Diceros bicornis minor: one gene and its partner. The protein of the gene in region 1 interacts with the protein of each later gene in a biochemical or structural test. Links are inferred from orthologs where the notes say so. Each region holds a gene or a part of one and is shown on either strand. Other genes may lie near its edges. The genes, in order: PRKCB and RASGRP3.

The links.
Region 2: of the proteins of PRKCB (region 1) and RASGRP3, one has a biochemical effect on the other in vitro, tested with the Homo sapiens proteins (2 studies listed by BioGRID). The link is inferred for Diceros bicornis minor from reciprocal best matches to the Homo sapiens genes PRKCB and RASGRP3.

Annotation. Positions count from the first base shown.
Region 1 is NC_080765.1:27,956,347-27,963,815, reverse strand, and holds the start of PRKCB (protein kinase C beta type), read left to right. Parts: upstream 1-4,338; 5' UTR 4,339-4,476; coding exon 4,477-4,649; intron 4,650-5,661; coding exon 5,662-5,693; intron 5,694-7,469. UniProt on the Homo sapiens protein: Calcium-activated, phospholipid- and diacylglycerol (DAG)-dependent serine/threonine-protein kinase involved in various cellular processes such as regulation of the B-cell receptor (BCR) signalosome, oxidative stress-induced apoptosis, androgen receptor-dependent transcription regulation, insulin signaling and endothelial cells proliferation.
Region 2 is NC_080751.1:49,879,571-49,887,545, reverse strand, and holds the start of RASGRP3 (ras guanyl-releasing protein 3), read left to right. Parts: upstream 1-4,765; 5' UTR 4,766-4,856; coding exon 4,857-4,926; intron 4,927-5,911; coding exon 5,912-6,014; intron 6,015-7,820; coding exon 7,821-7,883; intron 7,884-7,975. UniProt on the Homo sapiens protein: Guanine nucleotide exchange factor (GEF) for Ras and Rap1.

The DNA of each region.
Region 1 (7,469 bases):
TTAAATCTACTCTTTAGAACAGAGGTGTCCAAAGAAATATGATGTGAGCCACATACATAATTTTACATTTTCTAGTAGCCACATTAAAAAAGTAAAATGAAACTAATTTTAGAGAGAAATTTGATTTAGGCCAATACATCCAAAATATTATAATTTCAATATACAATGAAGATAAAAAAATATTTGTGAGATATTTTACCTTCTTTTTCTTACTAAGTGCTTGATATTTTGGGGTGTATTTTACACTTATAATCACATTTCAATTCAGACTAGCTACATTCCAAATGCTCAATAGCCACATGTGGCTAGTGACTACTATATTGGAGAGTGCAGCCTTAGAAGGAAAGATTTGGAGGCAATCTGCTACATCTCTGCCCCTGTCTTACAGAGGAGGAAAGTGAGACACAGAGGAAGGAAATGACTTGCCCAGGGTTATGCAATGTAGTGAGTTGAATGGTGGCCCCCCAAAGATATGTCCCTGTCCTAATTCCTGGAACCTGTGAATGTTACCTTGTTTGGAAAAGGGTTATTACAGATGTAACTAAGTTAAGGATCTTGAGATAAAGAGATTATTCCAGATTATCTGGGTGAACCCTAAATCTAATGACCAGTGTCCTTTTAAGAGAGACACAGAGGAGATGAGACAGACAGAAGAGGAGACGACTGACACACAAAGAGAAGTTGATGTGAAGATGGAGGCAGAGATGGGAATGATGTGGCCACAAGCCAAAGAAGCCAAGGAATGCTGCCAGCCACCAGAACTTGGAAGAGGCTGGGAGGGATCCTTCTCTAAAGCCTCCAGAGAGAGTAGGGCCCAGCAGACAACTTGATTTCAGCCTTCTGGCCTGCAGAATTGTGAGAGAATAAATTTCTATCATTTTTAGCCAATTAGTTTTGTGATAATTTGTTATGGCAGCCACAGGAAACTAATATATACAGCAAGTTTGAAGCCTAGATTTAAGAGACCTTGGACTCCACTCTAAGCCAGAGCAACCTGCTTCCTCAATGCCTCTGAAATCTTTCAAGTGGCCAGCATCCATTCCTTTATAAGCACAGTGGACCACATGGGGGCCCTGGTGACCTACAGGGCCTATGCCCAATCTATAGGGAGCTGCTGTCCTTTAACTCCGTGTGGCACCATGCCAAGTTATCGTCATCTCTTGCTCCGTCTATGCAAATGACCTCAACTGCACAACTTATTTCTACTCTTTCTCCCATTCAATCTATTTTCCTCATTGTAGCCAGGGTAATCTTAAAAACAAAACAAAACAAAACAAAAAAACCAGAGCCAGCTCTGATGGCCTAGTGGGGAAAGTTTGGCGCATCTGCTTCAACAGCCGGAGTGTGGTTCCCCGGCACAGAACCACACCACCCGTCTGTCAGTAGCCATGCTGTGGCGGTGGCTCACACAGAAGAACTAGAATGGTGCACAACTAGGATATACAACCAGGTACTTTGGGGAGGGAAAAAAAAAAAACCAGGAAGATTGGCAACAAATGTTAGCTCAGGGCAAATCTTCCCCTGCAAGAAAAAAAACCCAAAAAACAAAAAAAAAAACCTAAGTCATATCAGGCCACTCCTTTGCTCTCAACCCTCCAATGGCTTCCCATTCACTGGAGTGAAATCCGAACTCCTTACCCCGTCTGCAAGTCCTGCTGCCTTACTGATCTCTCTTGTACCCGCTTTTGCCTCTCTCTCCACTCCAGCCACAGAGGCCTCCTTGCTGTTTCTCCAACACGCTGAGCATGCTGCTCCTCCAGCTCCTTGCATTTGCTGTTTCCTACCCTCAGGTAGCCGCCTGGCTCACCCCCTTCCTTCGTTCAGCTCTAGCTCGGATGTCCCCTTGTTATAAAGCATTTCCCTGGCCACCGTCACTCTTTATTCCTTTACCATGCTTTGTTTTTCTTTACAGCGTGAATCTCCACACCACCTTGTATAGATTTGTTAGTTTAGTAGGTTATTGTCCATCTTCCCCTTTAGACTGTAAGCTCCATGAAGGCAGGGGCTTTGGACTGTTTTAACAACGTGTGGCACAGTACATAGCAAGTGCTCAATAAATTCATTGCTGAATGAATGAACAAATGAATGAGTGAGTGGAGGAATTCGGGCTCCATATAGCCGTATCTTTTTTCCTAGAGAAGTCAGAATCTGGATATTTAGGTGAAATTCTACCAAATGTGAACCAAAAAAAAAAAAAAATTGCTCGCTGGCTAAAAAAATGTATCCAAGGGCCACCAGTTTGAGACTGTTGCCTGATAGGGATCTGGGTCCAAAGGAAACTATGTTCCTCTATCCTCAGATGGTGCAGCCCCTCCAGGAACCGAATGGTTCTTCAGGATCCACCAGCCCTTGCATCTTCAGGCCCAGGCCTCATGAGGTACTGTTTGTTGTTATAGACCAAAGTCATCCAGAGCACTTTGTTCAAAAGGCAGGATGTGGGCTGCAAGCTTCCAGCTCATCGGTTCAAAGGAAATCTACTTCAGCAGCAATATCTCCTGGGATGTTTTCTCAAGCCTCCCTGGGAGGTGATGGGGCCTTTTAAAGGACTAATAATAGACAGGCACGTCCAGTTTCCCAAACATGTCAACCTTAAAAGTGAATGCTATTTTTGCCTTGTTACCTTTGAATTACTGTGTAGGGAAGGGACATTCTGTTAGGACAGCCATCGCTCTCCACATGCCACCTAATAATGACTTACCACTCAGCAGCTTCTGGGCAAAATTGTCATAGTGGGACCTGAGCTTCACTAGGCAGAAGTTCAGTGTCACTGGTGCAACTCCATCCTGCCCTTTTTCACCCCTTGAACATGAGTATGCTTTGTAGCCATCATTCAACGGTGTGACTTTGAGTGTATATCTTAATCACGCTGAGCATCACCGTCCTTATCCATAATGAAAGTTAGCGGACCTACACACGGTTGTTGGGAGAACTAAATAAGACAGTACAGGTACCTGACATACACCCAGCACCTGATGTTTATTATTATTGAACACCTACTGGATACAGGTGGGGGTAAAGGGTGCTGTCCTTTAAATTTACATTCACTCATTGGTTCGCACAATCACACACTCATTCAACTAATATTTATGGAGCTCTTAGAAGGTTTCAGGCACTGAGCTCGGTGCCGGATGACACAATGGCAAGCAGCTCCTGCCCTCAGAGCCTAGGTCTAGTCAAGGAGTTCGTAGTCTAATGCAGTGCTGTGTTCCCAGAGTGTGGGGCACCGTGGGGGGATGTTTAGACGTAGTGCATGGACAGGGCTCTAAATCACACTGCATTACCCATCTAACAATTATTACTCTTTTGATTATCTTTCCATTCTTCAGATTCCATCCAGGAGAGAGTCCCAGTTGGATGTTAGCGTGTCTTTAACATCTCTCTATTAGTTGTTAATCTCCCTTCTTAAGAAATAAAAGGCCTCAGACGCAGATGTTTTGGGCAGTTGGCAGCATCTGTAAACCCATACAAAGTTTACAGATTTGTATGGATACCTTTTGCTGTTCGAACTCAGAAACCAGATAGACTTTTTTCAGATGGTGCACAAATATGACCAGAATTTGTGAAGACGGGTCAGGAATGAATTAAAGTTGAGGAAATGCTGACCTATTAAGTTTCTCCCTCACCTCCTTTATTAGCCCCATTTTACAGTCGAGGAAACTGAGTCTCTTTATGGAGGGGATGGATAGGGAGGTAGGGAGTTCTCATCTAAATGGTCGGGCAAGCAAAGCCAAGAATTGTCTTTGTGGTGGAGTTAGACACATTTAAAATAAAGATTGCTCCTCCCCTACCTCTGCGGTACGTGTGTGCGTATGTGTGTGTAAGTGTGTGGAACCACAGGCCTTTCCGAGTGAGTGACAGCGGGAGCCCATCCCTACAGGAGACGGGTGCAGAATGACCAATGGGATGGATGGGGGTTGGATGGGTACCAGTCTGCAGAGGCCGGGGTGAAATCAGTCGCGCCCACCCTTTCCACCCCCTACCCCCGGCCCTCGTCGGGCCTTCCGGTCTCGGTTCCCCCGGGACGTGCTCATCTTCCTAAGGCAACCCCAGGCCAAGGACGGGGTAGGGAGCGAGGCTCAGGTCTGACGATCGCAGGCTGCGGTCCCCGCGCCGCAGCGCTGCGGCTAACACTTCTCTGGGAGACCGGCAGCCTCCGGGTGCCAATATGTAAAGCAGCTGGCGGCGCTGGGCGGGGCCTGGGGCGCGATGCAAATGAGGGAGGCGGGGTCTGCCCGGGCTCCGCCTCCCTCCCCCGCAGCTGGGGCCAGCGGTGCCAAGCGCAGCTGGACGAGCGGCGGCAGCTGGGCGAGTGACAGCCCCAGCTCCGCGCGCCGCGGCCGCCAGAGCCGGCGCAGGGGAAGCGCCCGCGGCCCCGGGCGGCAGCAGCGGCCGCCTCCCGCGCCTCCCGGGCCCGCAGCCCGCGGTCCCACGGCCCCGGGGCCGGCACCTCTCGGGCTCCCGCTCCCCGCGCGCAAGATGGCTGACCCGGCTGCGGGGCCGGCGCCAGGCGAGGGCGAGGAGAGCACCGTGCGCTTCGCCCGCAAAGGCGCCCTCCGGCAGAAGAACGTGCACGAGGTGAAGAACCACAAATTCACCGCCCGCTTCTTCAAGCAGCCCACCTTCTGCAGCCACTGCACCGACTTCATCTGGTGAGAGCGCGCCGGCGCAGGGCACCTTCCCGGGGTCCTCGAGGGCAGCGCCGCGCGCGGGGACCCCCTCTCCGTGCCCTCCGCGTCCCCAAGGGAGAAGCAGCCCCGCCGGGCTCGGCGTCCCCGGGCTCCTGGCTCCGGAGCCTTCTGCCCCGGACTCCCTGGTGGACAGTCCTGCGGGTTCCCTCTCCCCTCGGCCCCAGACGGCCGCCCGCGGGGCGCCTCCGGAGCGCCTAGGGGCCGCGTCGCGGGCGCCTTTTCTTCACCTGGTTCAGAGCGCGGGGTGTCTGTCCCTCCCTCGGAGGGCAGCGCCCCGGGTGCCCTCTCGCCCAGGGTTCCCTATCTCTCCGCCTCCTTCCGGGCTCGAGGCGCCCTCACCCTCTCCGCTCCTTTCCGGGGACAGCGTCCTGGGAGTCCTGGCTCTATCTCCCTGCGGGCATGGGGCATCCTTTCCTCCTCTGTGTCTCTGGGGGCTGCGCCTGTGTTATCTCCGATTGCGCCTCCCTGAGGGCCTGGGTTCTCCTTGCCACTTCTTAGTCTCCCCCCACTCACATCACTGCGGGCCCCTTTCTCCCCGCTGTCCCTCAAGGCATGGGGAGTCCTCTCTCCCTTCCCAGTCCCCCAGGGAACACCACCTCCCCCGGGTCTCTCTCATCCTGCCTCTGGATACATCTTTTTCTCTTCTCTTTCCCGAGGGTGCTCGGGCATCTCTGTGGGCAGATCTCCCGCCTGCCCTCCGCCCCCACCACGGAAACGCTCCCCCCATCCCGCCGCCTGGTGGTCGCAGCAACCTCCTCTCTTCTGCCTTCTGAGGGGAGGTGGGGGTTACCGCCGAGCTCCCACCTACTCCCCTCCCCCCAAAGGCGGAAGACTCTTGGGCACCCGCCTGTGGCTGGGAGGTTGCACCTGGGGTAGCGGGGCAGGGGTAGGAGGAAGGGGGGGTGACTGTGGGGGAAGTAGCTGGTGGCTGGGCCCCTCGGGCTGCCTGACATGCCTCCTTCTCTCTTCGCAGGGGCTTCGGGAAGCAAGGATTCCAGTGCCAAGGTAGGCTGTGGGGATCTGGGGATGCTGTTTGTGGGAAGAGATGGTGAAAAAGACTTTCTAGAAGTGACTGAGTTAGGCAGAGAGTGAAGGAATCACTTTTGTCAGAGTGACCTCCCATGCTAGGAATTCATCACCACAAAAGGGTCCTTTTAAGGGGTGTGTGTTTATGGGGCAGTGATGCTCCATCCAGGAAAGGCTGGTGGAGCTGGGAAGGCCTACAGGCCAAGGAAATGCATCCACCCTTTCCCCTGTCCCAGCTCCAGAAGAGTCAAAACGGGTCTCCTGAGCCTGTCCTGCCTGGCTAATCCTGCTTCTGGAGGAAGTGTCTCCAGGGGCCATTTCTGGGAGGACCCCTCCTCCCTAATTCCTGCTCACTTGCCCTTCCTCATGTCACAGAGTGGGATTCTGCTTCTTCTCCTGCCTCACAGAGGTCTCTGCAGGTGGCTGCTGCCTCTGCAGATGGTGCATCCCCTTGAAAGGTGACTGTGGTTGTCCCTGGGCCTCCTCCCTCTCTCAAAGAGGTGGTTCCAGATGGGCTGCCTCTCAGATCCTGCTTTAAATCACCCTTTCTATCTTCTGGCTAGATACAGGAGGGACTCCAAGTGGCTGGTCACCTGGGTCCTTGCATCTGGTTTGAGATCCTTGACCCTAGCTGGGGATGCCCAACCTAGTGGTGTCTTTTAATCATGTGTAAGGTGGCCTCACTGTCTCTGCTTACAGGTTTGCTCTCCAGGGCCAAATCACCGATAGTCTTGTTTAGCCCATAGGTGTCAAACGTTTTTTGAATTTGATGTCAACGTTTTTGAAGTGGGAGATTTCACATACTCATCTGAATTTCCAGCTTCGAGGTTGCTGAGGATTGGTCCCACTTTCTTGTCAGAACAATCATTTGGAGCTGAGAGCAGCTGTTTCCATAGACAAGGCGCATGTTCACCATTTTGTCTCAGTGCCTCCCCACCAGGCCTGCTTCACCCGTTTCTGGCACCTGTAGTCATTTGAGTTTGCAACTTCTGGTCTGGAGAGTCGTCCCCCCTGCCCCCCCTCCCCCAATTTGGGCCAGGCGTGGTTGAGTTTGGTGAGAAATGTCACATTTCTGGGGTATGTCCTAGGGGCAAATTGGCCGTCCTGGTGAGCAGGGTTTAGATGAGGAGAAGAAAGTGTTTGACTGTTAAGAAGTCTATGTGCCCTAGCACTGATTGACAGTCTTGTTGTAGCACCTCCGCCCTCCAGGGAAAAGTAAAGTGATCCCGGTGAGGGTGGGTGGCATTGTCAGCTGTACAGAATGCTCACAGCATGGCACTGCTGTCTTCTAAGGCTCTTGTGTCTTCTCCCTTGAGATCTGGGACAGGGCCGGCTCAGCCAGTGACCCGCCCAGCCTCTGGAGCCCCAATTTCATGCACTGCCTGGAGGACTTCCCAAATCCCTTTGAGTGGCAACAACTGAGGTCCTGGTGCAAACAGTTGGATTGTTTTCTAGAACTTTGTCTGACCCTTCAAGCAGAATACCAATGGTGTCTTGGTGCCGGAATGCGTAGATATTTGAGGTTACCTTTCGTTTCCATGAATCGGTTTCTGTCTTTGTCTCATGCTGAGGTCAGGATGATTTTTGAACATCTTTACTGCTACTCTCCTATCCCACCTGCTCTGCAGTTATTAATGGTTGGGAAAGTCATTTTAGAATGTGAGGATGATGACACATCTGAAGCAGGAGATCCTTTTTTTCAAGGCCTGGAAAACGATAGGAATTTTCTGGTGTAGTGAGAGTAAAGCAGAATTA
Region 2 (7,975 bases), on another chromosome or scaffold:
TAAAAAAAAAATAAAGAAATGTAAATAAAATAAATAAATAAATAAATAAATAAAAATCTTATGTCTATGGTGAGAAAGGGAGATAAGCTTGAATGTTGCCGGAACAAAAAATGCTATGACACCTTAGTTCTTAATCCTTAAGGCTTAAAGATTTGTAATAATTACCACTCATTTTCACAAAGGATTTAGGCATTTAGAGAAACCCCCTTGTCTCCATATGAAGGGCATATGAATGTAAAGACATATCCATGGTCATATAGTTATAAAGATAATATCGGCCATTAGGAGGGAAGAGTCTTCAAGGGTTTTTGTTTGTTTCTTCTTGCAATAGAGATAATGCTATAGACAAGACTATCTTTGGAAGTTCTAATATGGCCAACATCATTTTAAAACTATTTGTTGAATACTTACTAGATATAATATTTCACCTTATAAATCCTTCAATCCTAGAGCCAGAAGCAACTTTTGCTGTCATTTTGGCATGCTTCCTAGACACCGTCTGGGAATTTAGTCTACAACATCTCTGACAGTCATTACCTTACTTTGGCTCAAGAACTTTCAGGAATGGGATTCCATTGCTGATGAGGCCACCTGCCCCACTAGTAGATGCTCTAGTGCCACAATATTTTTTCTCCCATTTTCTTTTACGTTCTCTAAACTAACATCTCTCTTTCTGTCACTTCTACACGTAGGTCCTCTACATCACCTTAAGTCCTCAACTTAAAAGCCTTTAAATATTGGAAGGGAAGAGGTAGTGCAGGCAAAAGGCAACACCTTTCCCAAGCACCCACTGTTTTGCAGGACACATGTGGGTGCATTTTATGTTACCTCACTAACTTCTTAAACAATCTAGTAGAGTAAGCAGAATTAATGGCATTTTACTCAGAGGTAAGTAAAACTTTCCTCATTTGTTTATCTAATGTTGAAATCCAATTTTTAATTACTCTAAAAGTTCTGAGTCAAGAGCCTGGGTGCTAATTTATATCTGTTGATGGATAGTTGCATGGAATTGGCTCCTTTTCACTATTTCTAAAATCGGGAGCATAGTCCTTATTGTCCCAGGCAATCTCACGAGGATTTTTTTTTGAAGATAGAGGCTTTGCCAGTCTTGTTAATCAAAGTCTTTTGCTGTATGAACTCATCATGGCTTTTGGAAATCACACTCAACAGAACTCTATTGCCCTTTGGAAGAGAGAACTTTTCTCCTAGAAATAATTCAAGCCCTGGGGAAATTTTGGCTTATTGTGTCCTTTTCAGATTTGTGAGAAATGTTGATGCTGGGGAACAATCATTTTCATTGCAGCCAGAGAGTACCTATCAACACTAAAGCAAGTCCTAAACCATTGGGAGACTAAACAGCCTGGACTAAAATAACATTGACATTCACGTTGAGACACTCAGGAGAGATTTAGATCAGAGTTTGATGATCACCACAACAAACTGTTTTAGAGATTTACTAACATTCCAAAGTCACTGTTTGGAAATTCTTAATGAGTAATCCACTGATATATGTATATTTGGACTAAAATAGTATTTTATACTATGTGTATAAATTTTGGTTTTGCCCCATTTGTAGGTTTTTAATAGGCTGAATTTTTGTTTAGCTACTTGATTTAAAAAATATCATGTCACCAAAATATTTTGAATATTTTTTGTTTTAATTGACTCTGTGGCTGAAGTTTAGACAAAATCTCAAAAACCACTTATAATTCAAGGGTTTTGGAAATTCTTTAACATAATGTGAATTCTTTTAGTTTTGTATTATTTAACTCTGTCTGGGGATTTCTTTCTGTTCTTTTATCAGGTTCTCCAAAGTACCTGTTATTCAGGCTGGATAAAAACTTCTATAGATTGTGTCCCCAGTGCATTTTCTGATGATGATAAGTGCCCTTAAAATTCTTTCAGACCTGAATATCTATCTGTGTGAAACTGATAGGTAAGTATTTCTTTAAACTATTGTAGATTATGTAAGAAACTCACCAAAATAAATGTGCCTAGAAAAATGAAAAGAAACATGCCATGATATTAACAAGTTATCTTTGGATGATGAGATTTCTTTTCCCTTACTATCCTATTTTAAATGATGAATGTATGTTGCTTTTACAATAAAGAAGGTTTATTTGTGAAAAAGCAGTTGTAGACACAATAATATCCACACATATGAAATGAGATCTCAGGTACATGTGTAGGTGACTGAATGCTAAGCAGGGATTCAGACACATCTACTGATTGCAGAAACAGATTGTAACCAGAGAGCTCGGCCCACCTGGCTCTCATGTGCTGACTCCTTGGCAGATCACAAATATAACTCCAAACAATGGTGACAGGTCTTTGGTAGCAGGTTATTTCTAACCCCTTGTAGAAGGTCAAAACCTTCCCCAAACAGATCAGGTGAATAATTTTGGTTTTGACCAGAGAAACTGGTTTAATTAATCTAGGCTGTTTGGTTCTAAGTAATATATTTACTACTCAGTAACAAGAGTTAACAAGATAAAAAATTCTGTATATACTATAAGGTAATCAAACTTGTCAATTGTCCAATGGGATTGGCAGAATTTATATTAGGGAAATCAGAGAAGTGCTGACCCAAAATGTCCTGGAAGAGGTTCTTATTATGAAAATAAGCAGACGCTATTAAGTCTAGAAAGCTGGCAGGAACTTCTGTCCCAGTGATGTTTGCTAAAAGCTGATTTAAATTAGTAAATCACATTTAAAAATAGCCTTTTAAAAATTTATAGTACACATTCATACAAATATACACCTATTCAAAGACAAAATTTTGACAATTTTCATTTTATTCATTTATTCATCCATCCGTCCACTCATTCATTAATTTAGCAAATGCTTTTTTGAGTATCTTCTACATCAGAGGCAAAATCTTGGGAGTTGGGGAGTAAACCAGAGAACAAACACAAAAATCCCTACGTTCATGGAGCTTATGTTTACAGTACTAGAGAGACTAAAAAACAAATAAAGTAAAATATATAGTATGTGAGATGGGGATACGTATTATGAAGAAAAATAAATCCAGGAAGCGAGGTAGGGCATGCCAAGTGGGAGGTGGGCACAGAGAAAGAAGTAGTGTTGTTTTAAATAGGATGGTTAGGAAAGGCCTTACCAATAAGGTAACTTGGTAGAAGAGATGGTTCCAGACAACTTTAATATCCCCCTTTCACAAATCATTTGAGCAGCAGAAGTGGGAGAGCATTGATCCAGGGTTCCTGTTATTTTTATTGCACATGTGAGATAACCCTTCTTTTTATGCTCTACGAGTAGTAGATTCAGCACAAGAATATGACTCTTACACAGAAATAATACACAGTAAACATTTTTCCTCCATAGTGATATGCCTGGTGAATAGATTCACTGAAATGCCACTCTTCAGTGGTCCTATTGAACTAATACAACCATACATATGGAAATTAGCTTTTTTCCCTGTTCCTTCATGTGTTTGCTTTCTGAAGTTGACTATGAGCCCATTGAAGACAGGGATGGGACAATGATTTGTTCATCTTGCCAGTCTCAATGCCTAGCCCAGTGCCTAGCATTTGTCAAGTGCTCAACGATTACCAGCTGAATAAATAAATTTTGAAAGTAAAAGAGACATTGACTTCAAACAGTTCATGAGATGAATTCCCAATGGCCACATTTACCTACTAAACTGTCCAAAGGGGATAACCGTCTTACATCCTGGTGACCTCTGGACCTCAAACCCTATAGGCACCTGGCATCAAGGACTTGCTCTGTAAAATAAGATGTTTGTGTGTCCCCAACAGGGATACTTTCTGTATAAGCAGCTCTAAGAGCTTGTTTCAAATCACTTTTTCCCCACAACAGTGCTATAAAATGGGACTGCTGTCATCCCCACATTTTTCTTCTACCTCTGTGACAGATAATCTGGCTTATATCCTTTCTCTGAGACGATGTGGAGGAATGATATTCATCACACTAGATTAAGGGGACAAAATTATGACAGCGTGTGATATCCACACTTCGGGGAATAGTAAAAGGGAAAAGGGAACCCCAAAGCTGTATTTTATAATAGAGTCCTGATTCTAGACCTTAATAATTGTGTGAGTTTTTTGGACAAGTTACTCAATCTCTGTGAATCCCATGATCTCATCTGTAAACTAGGAATAATAATTACTACCTCACAGTATTGTTCTGAAGGTCAAGTTGGATAATATATGTAAAGCATTTGGTATGGTGCCTGGTACATAATCTGGGTGTTCAACAGATTGTTGTTAATATTTTTACTACTACTACTAATACTGTTACTATTGGAAAACTTAGACAAAAAAGATTTTTTTTTAACCAGTTGTTGAACATTTATATGATCACTGAGGATAATGCTCATAAATATATTTGCACTTTAAAATTTATCTCCCTCTATATATTTGTAATAACATTAAACCATGTTTATAATATTCTTGAAAGTCTTACCACTTAAGAATATGAAGAAAGTATAAAATATGTATCAAAAAATATCAGCTGCAAAATGGGATGATGCTTAATAGGGAACATCTCCATGTTCTCAGAGCACCATACATGCTAAAGGACAACTTAGCAGGCATTTTGCCATCATGGTGGTTGATGCAATCTCTGTTGCTTTGATACTTTTCTTTTAGAAAGATACAGTCAATGAAAGTCATTATCTTTTCGGGTAGGAAAGTGACGCTTTAATGGGGTCTGAACTCTAGTCTGATAACTTTCTTTTCTTGTTTCTTTAGCATCTTGAAGTATAATTAAGGACAGAGACCACCACTAGGCACAAACATCACCAACTTGCATGATTATGGAGGTGGTCTGTCTGATGCTGAAAATGTCTCTAGTTTTTTGACAACGGTTGCATAACCATGGGGTCAAGTGGACTTGGGAAAGCAGCAACATTAGATGAATTGCTGAGTACTTGCATTGAGATGTTTGGTACGAGCCTTTTCTCTCTTTGTATATCTTGATACCATCACTTCCTCCTATTCAGATACAAATGTTTCTGTGGAATGGATTTCAATCTCCATACCTTGGTATTTAAGGTCTTTTTGATTGACCCTAATCCGTTTCCCCAGTATCGCTGATCTCTGCATTTCCTTCCTTTTACTGCCCACAGTTCATACTCCAGCCACACTGTCCACTTAATGTTTCTGGAACATTCTCTGCATCTTTCTACCTCCATGCCTTTCATTGAAAATCTGCTTCAGGGCTCATCTCAGATGTCATCTCCGATGTTCATAACACCATTCCTAACCTCCCCGTCAGGAATGCTGATTGCTTCCTCTGCCCTCCCACAGCCCCTTGTAACTTTCTGATAGCACATGGTATATGCTGCTGTGATCATTTCTTGGTCTTTTGCCTTAGACAAGTGTGGGTAGAACAATCTGCTGCATTCTATATTTGCATATATATCTTATATCTCCTACTAGATTATAGACTTTACAGCTATATGCTTTTTATGTTGTTTATGTGTTTTGGATTATTCCTTGCACAAATAGGGTCACAAAGGAGTTATTTGCTGAATTAATTGTTATAGGAAGAGTTAAACCAGAGTGGGGTTGCCAGATAAAAAATACAGGATGATCAGTTAAATCTGAATTTCAGGTAAACCATATTTTTACTATAAGTATGTCCTAAATAATACACGGGACATACTTATACTAAAAAGTTATAGGTGGTTTATGTTAATTCAAATTTATCTAAGTGTCCTGTACTTTTATTTGCTAAATCTGGCAACCGTAAACCAGAACGGTGAGACCGACCCACTTAACATGCAAGGAAATGCCAGCAGAAGTAGGAGGAAAACAGTAATTGGGTCTATGAGAAATTTTTGACACTAATGTTTCTCTACTGATATTAGAAAAAGAGAAGAGTAGTACTGTTGTCTCCTCACCACTCATTTTATTTTATTTTTTAACAGATGACAATGGAGAGCTGAATAATAGTTATTTGCCAAGAATAGTTCTACTAATGCACCGATGGTATTTATCTTCCACTGAATTGGCAGAAAAACTTCTCTGCATATATCTTTTCAACTACTGTGTAATTTTTACAATCATAAATCAAGTTCTGTATTTAGATAGAGTGTGTAACCAAAGCCAGTAAATTAAGATGAATAAACAGTCTTCAGTCAGTTATCCAGCTGTTTTGAGAATATATATAGATGGCTAGACAAAACATCTGGATGATGGACCAAATAGTTGACTATCCTTCTGGATGTTTTGGCTCCACTTGAAAATAGTCAGTAGATATAAAATGAAACAGGAGCTGTAGGCTGAATATTTCTAACTTGTCTTAAACACTTCTGCTGTTAGTACAATGCGAGAATATTTAACACTGATTCACGATCTAATTTATTTCTTTTAGGATGGCAAAATGATGGACCTAGAGGATACAGCTTAGGCATACGGAAATGCCAGCCAAAATAATATGATCTAGCTCAGGCATAAACACCACCTAAGTTTCCACATCTTCCCTTCCTGGCAAGACACAAAGAACATTCTAGCAGGTTTATTGTAATTTGTTGATTGATATTAATTTTAGATTTCCTTCTGCCATAAAAGCAAAAAAAAATAGTTAGAAACTCCTTCTATAATAAGGGCTTTTATCAGTCCGCCACTTTTGTACATAATGCAGTCCTGAAAGGTAGTTGAAAGCCAAATGACTGAAAATGGCAAAATAGTCTCACATTTATAAGGAGCTTTTATTCCGTGAGGTCTAAGGTATATTACGTAATCACTAATGTTGGTTCCTGCAGTCTCTGCCTACTTCAAGCCCAGGAGGCCCTGCAAATGGGTAAGAAGCCTTACAGGGCAGGGGATATCTGAGAGGGACAGGGTCCGTTAAGTGTTATTAGGGCCAAGTGGGGCTTCCACCTGCTCACTTCAAGCTTCCTCCACTTTCAACTTCTTCCCTTTATCCTCCCCACAACTCAGGGCAGAAGGGAATGTTACAGAGGATAATGGTACATTCACCCTAAAGAGGTCCCTGGAAGTGAACAAGATCCTAGTCCCCAGTGTTCCAACAGTTTCCGGGTCCTGCTATTGAGGGTAGCGCATAGGGAAGGATGGAGATGATTGACTCAGTCTGGCCCTATCCCTCCTCAGGATCCAAACATTGTCTAAGGAATGTACCCACAAACAGCGTTTTCATTAGTATGTCCACTGATGTATGAAACACAAATAAAAAAGGATATTTAGGCATAGTCAAGTCTACTATCTGCAAGTACAGATTGTATAAAAGTTGAAACTGCCTGTGAATCAACATTTCTTTAGATTTTCCTCCCTTTGGATTTCTTGCTCGCCACATATCCACAGCGCCTGGTAAATAGCAGGAGTTCAATAAAATTTTGTTAAAAAGAGTATGAATAAACAAACTTAAGAAGAAATTACAACACAACCCATGTATTAATATACCTAAAAATGACATTTTCAAATACCAAAGAAATTAGAGTACTTATATAAGGCATTAATCCTAAATACAAAATCATTTTGGCTCACATGACTATCAATTTTAAATTATCTATAATTGGCAGTATATTTGTAATTACAGTTGACAGTCATCACTTGGTACATGCTCAGAAAGGTAAAACTAATTTTATGTGCGTTCCCTTCCAGACCAAAAAATACATCACAGAGTAATAACACATCAAGTTTAAGTTATTCAGTGTTGATGTCATCAGAACCCACTTCTCTCCCCATTTGAACGTCCACATAACCCAAATGTCCCCAGTATGGCCCTCTTATTAGGAATTCATCTAAACTGATCAAACAGCTGAAGGTGTGTGTAAAGGAAACAAGATGCAAGGATTTTTTCTTTAACTAGTGTACGTATCGAAATGCCAGTGGAGAAAGTTGCAACGAATTTCGATTAAAGATCTGCTACTTCATAAGGTAAATATACTTACAAATTTAATTGTACTGTAGTTTCTGGTTCTGGAATTGTTGACAATTTCCTTTTCCCCAAGCAGCAGACCTAGTTTGAC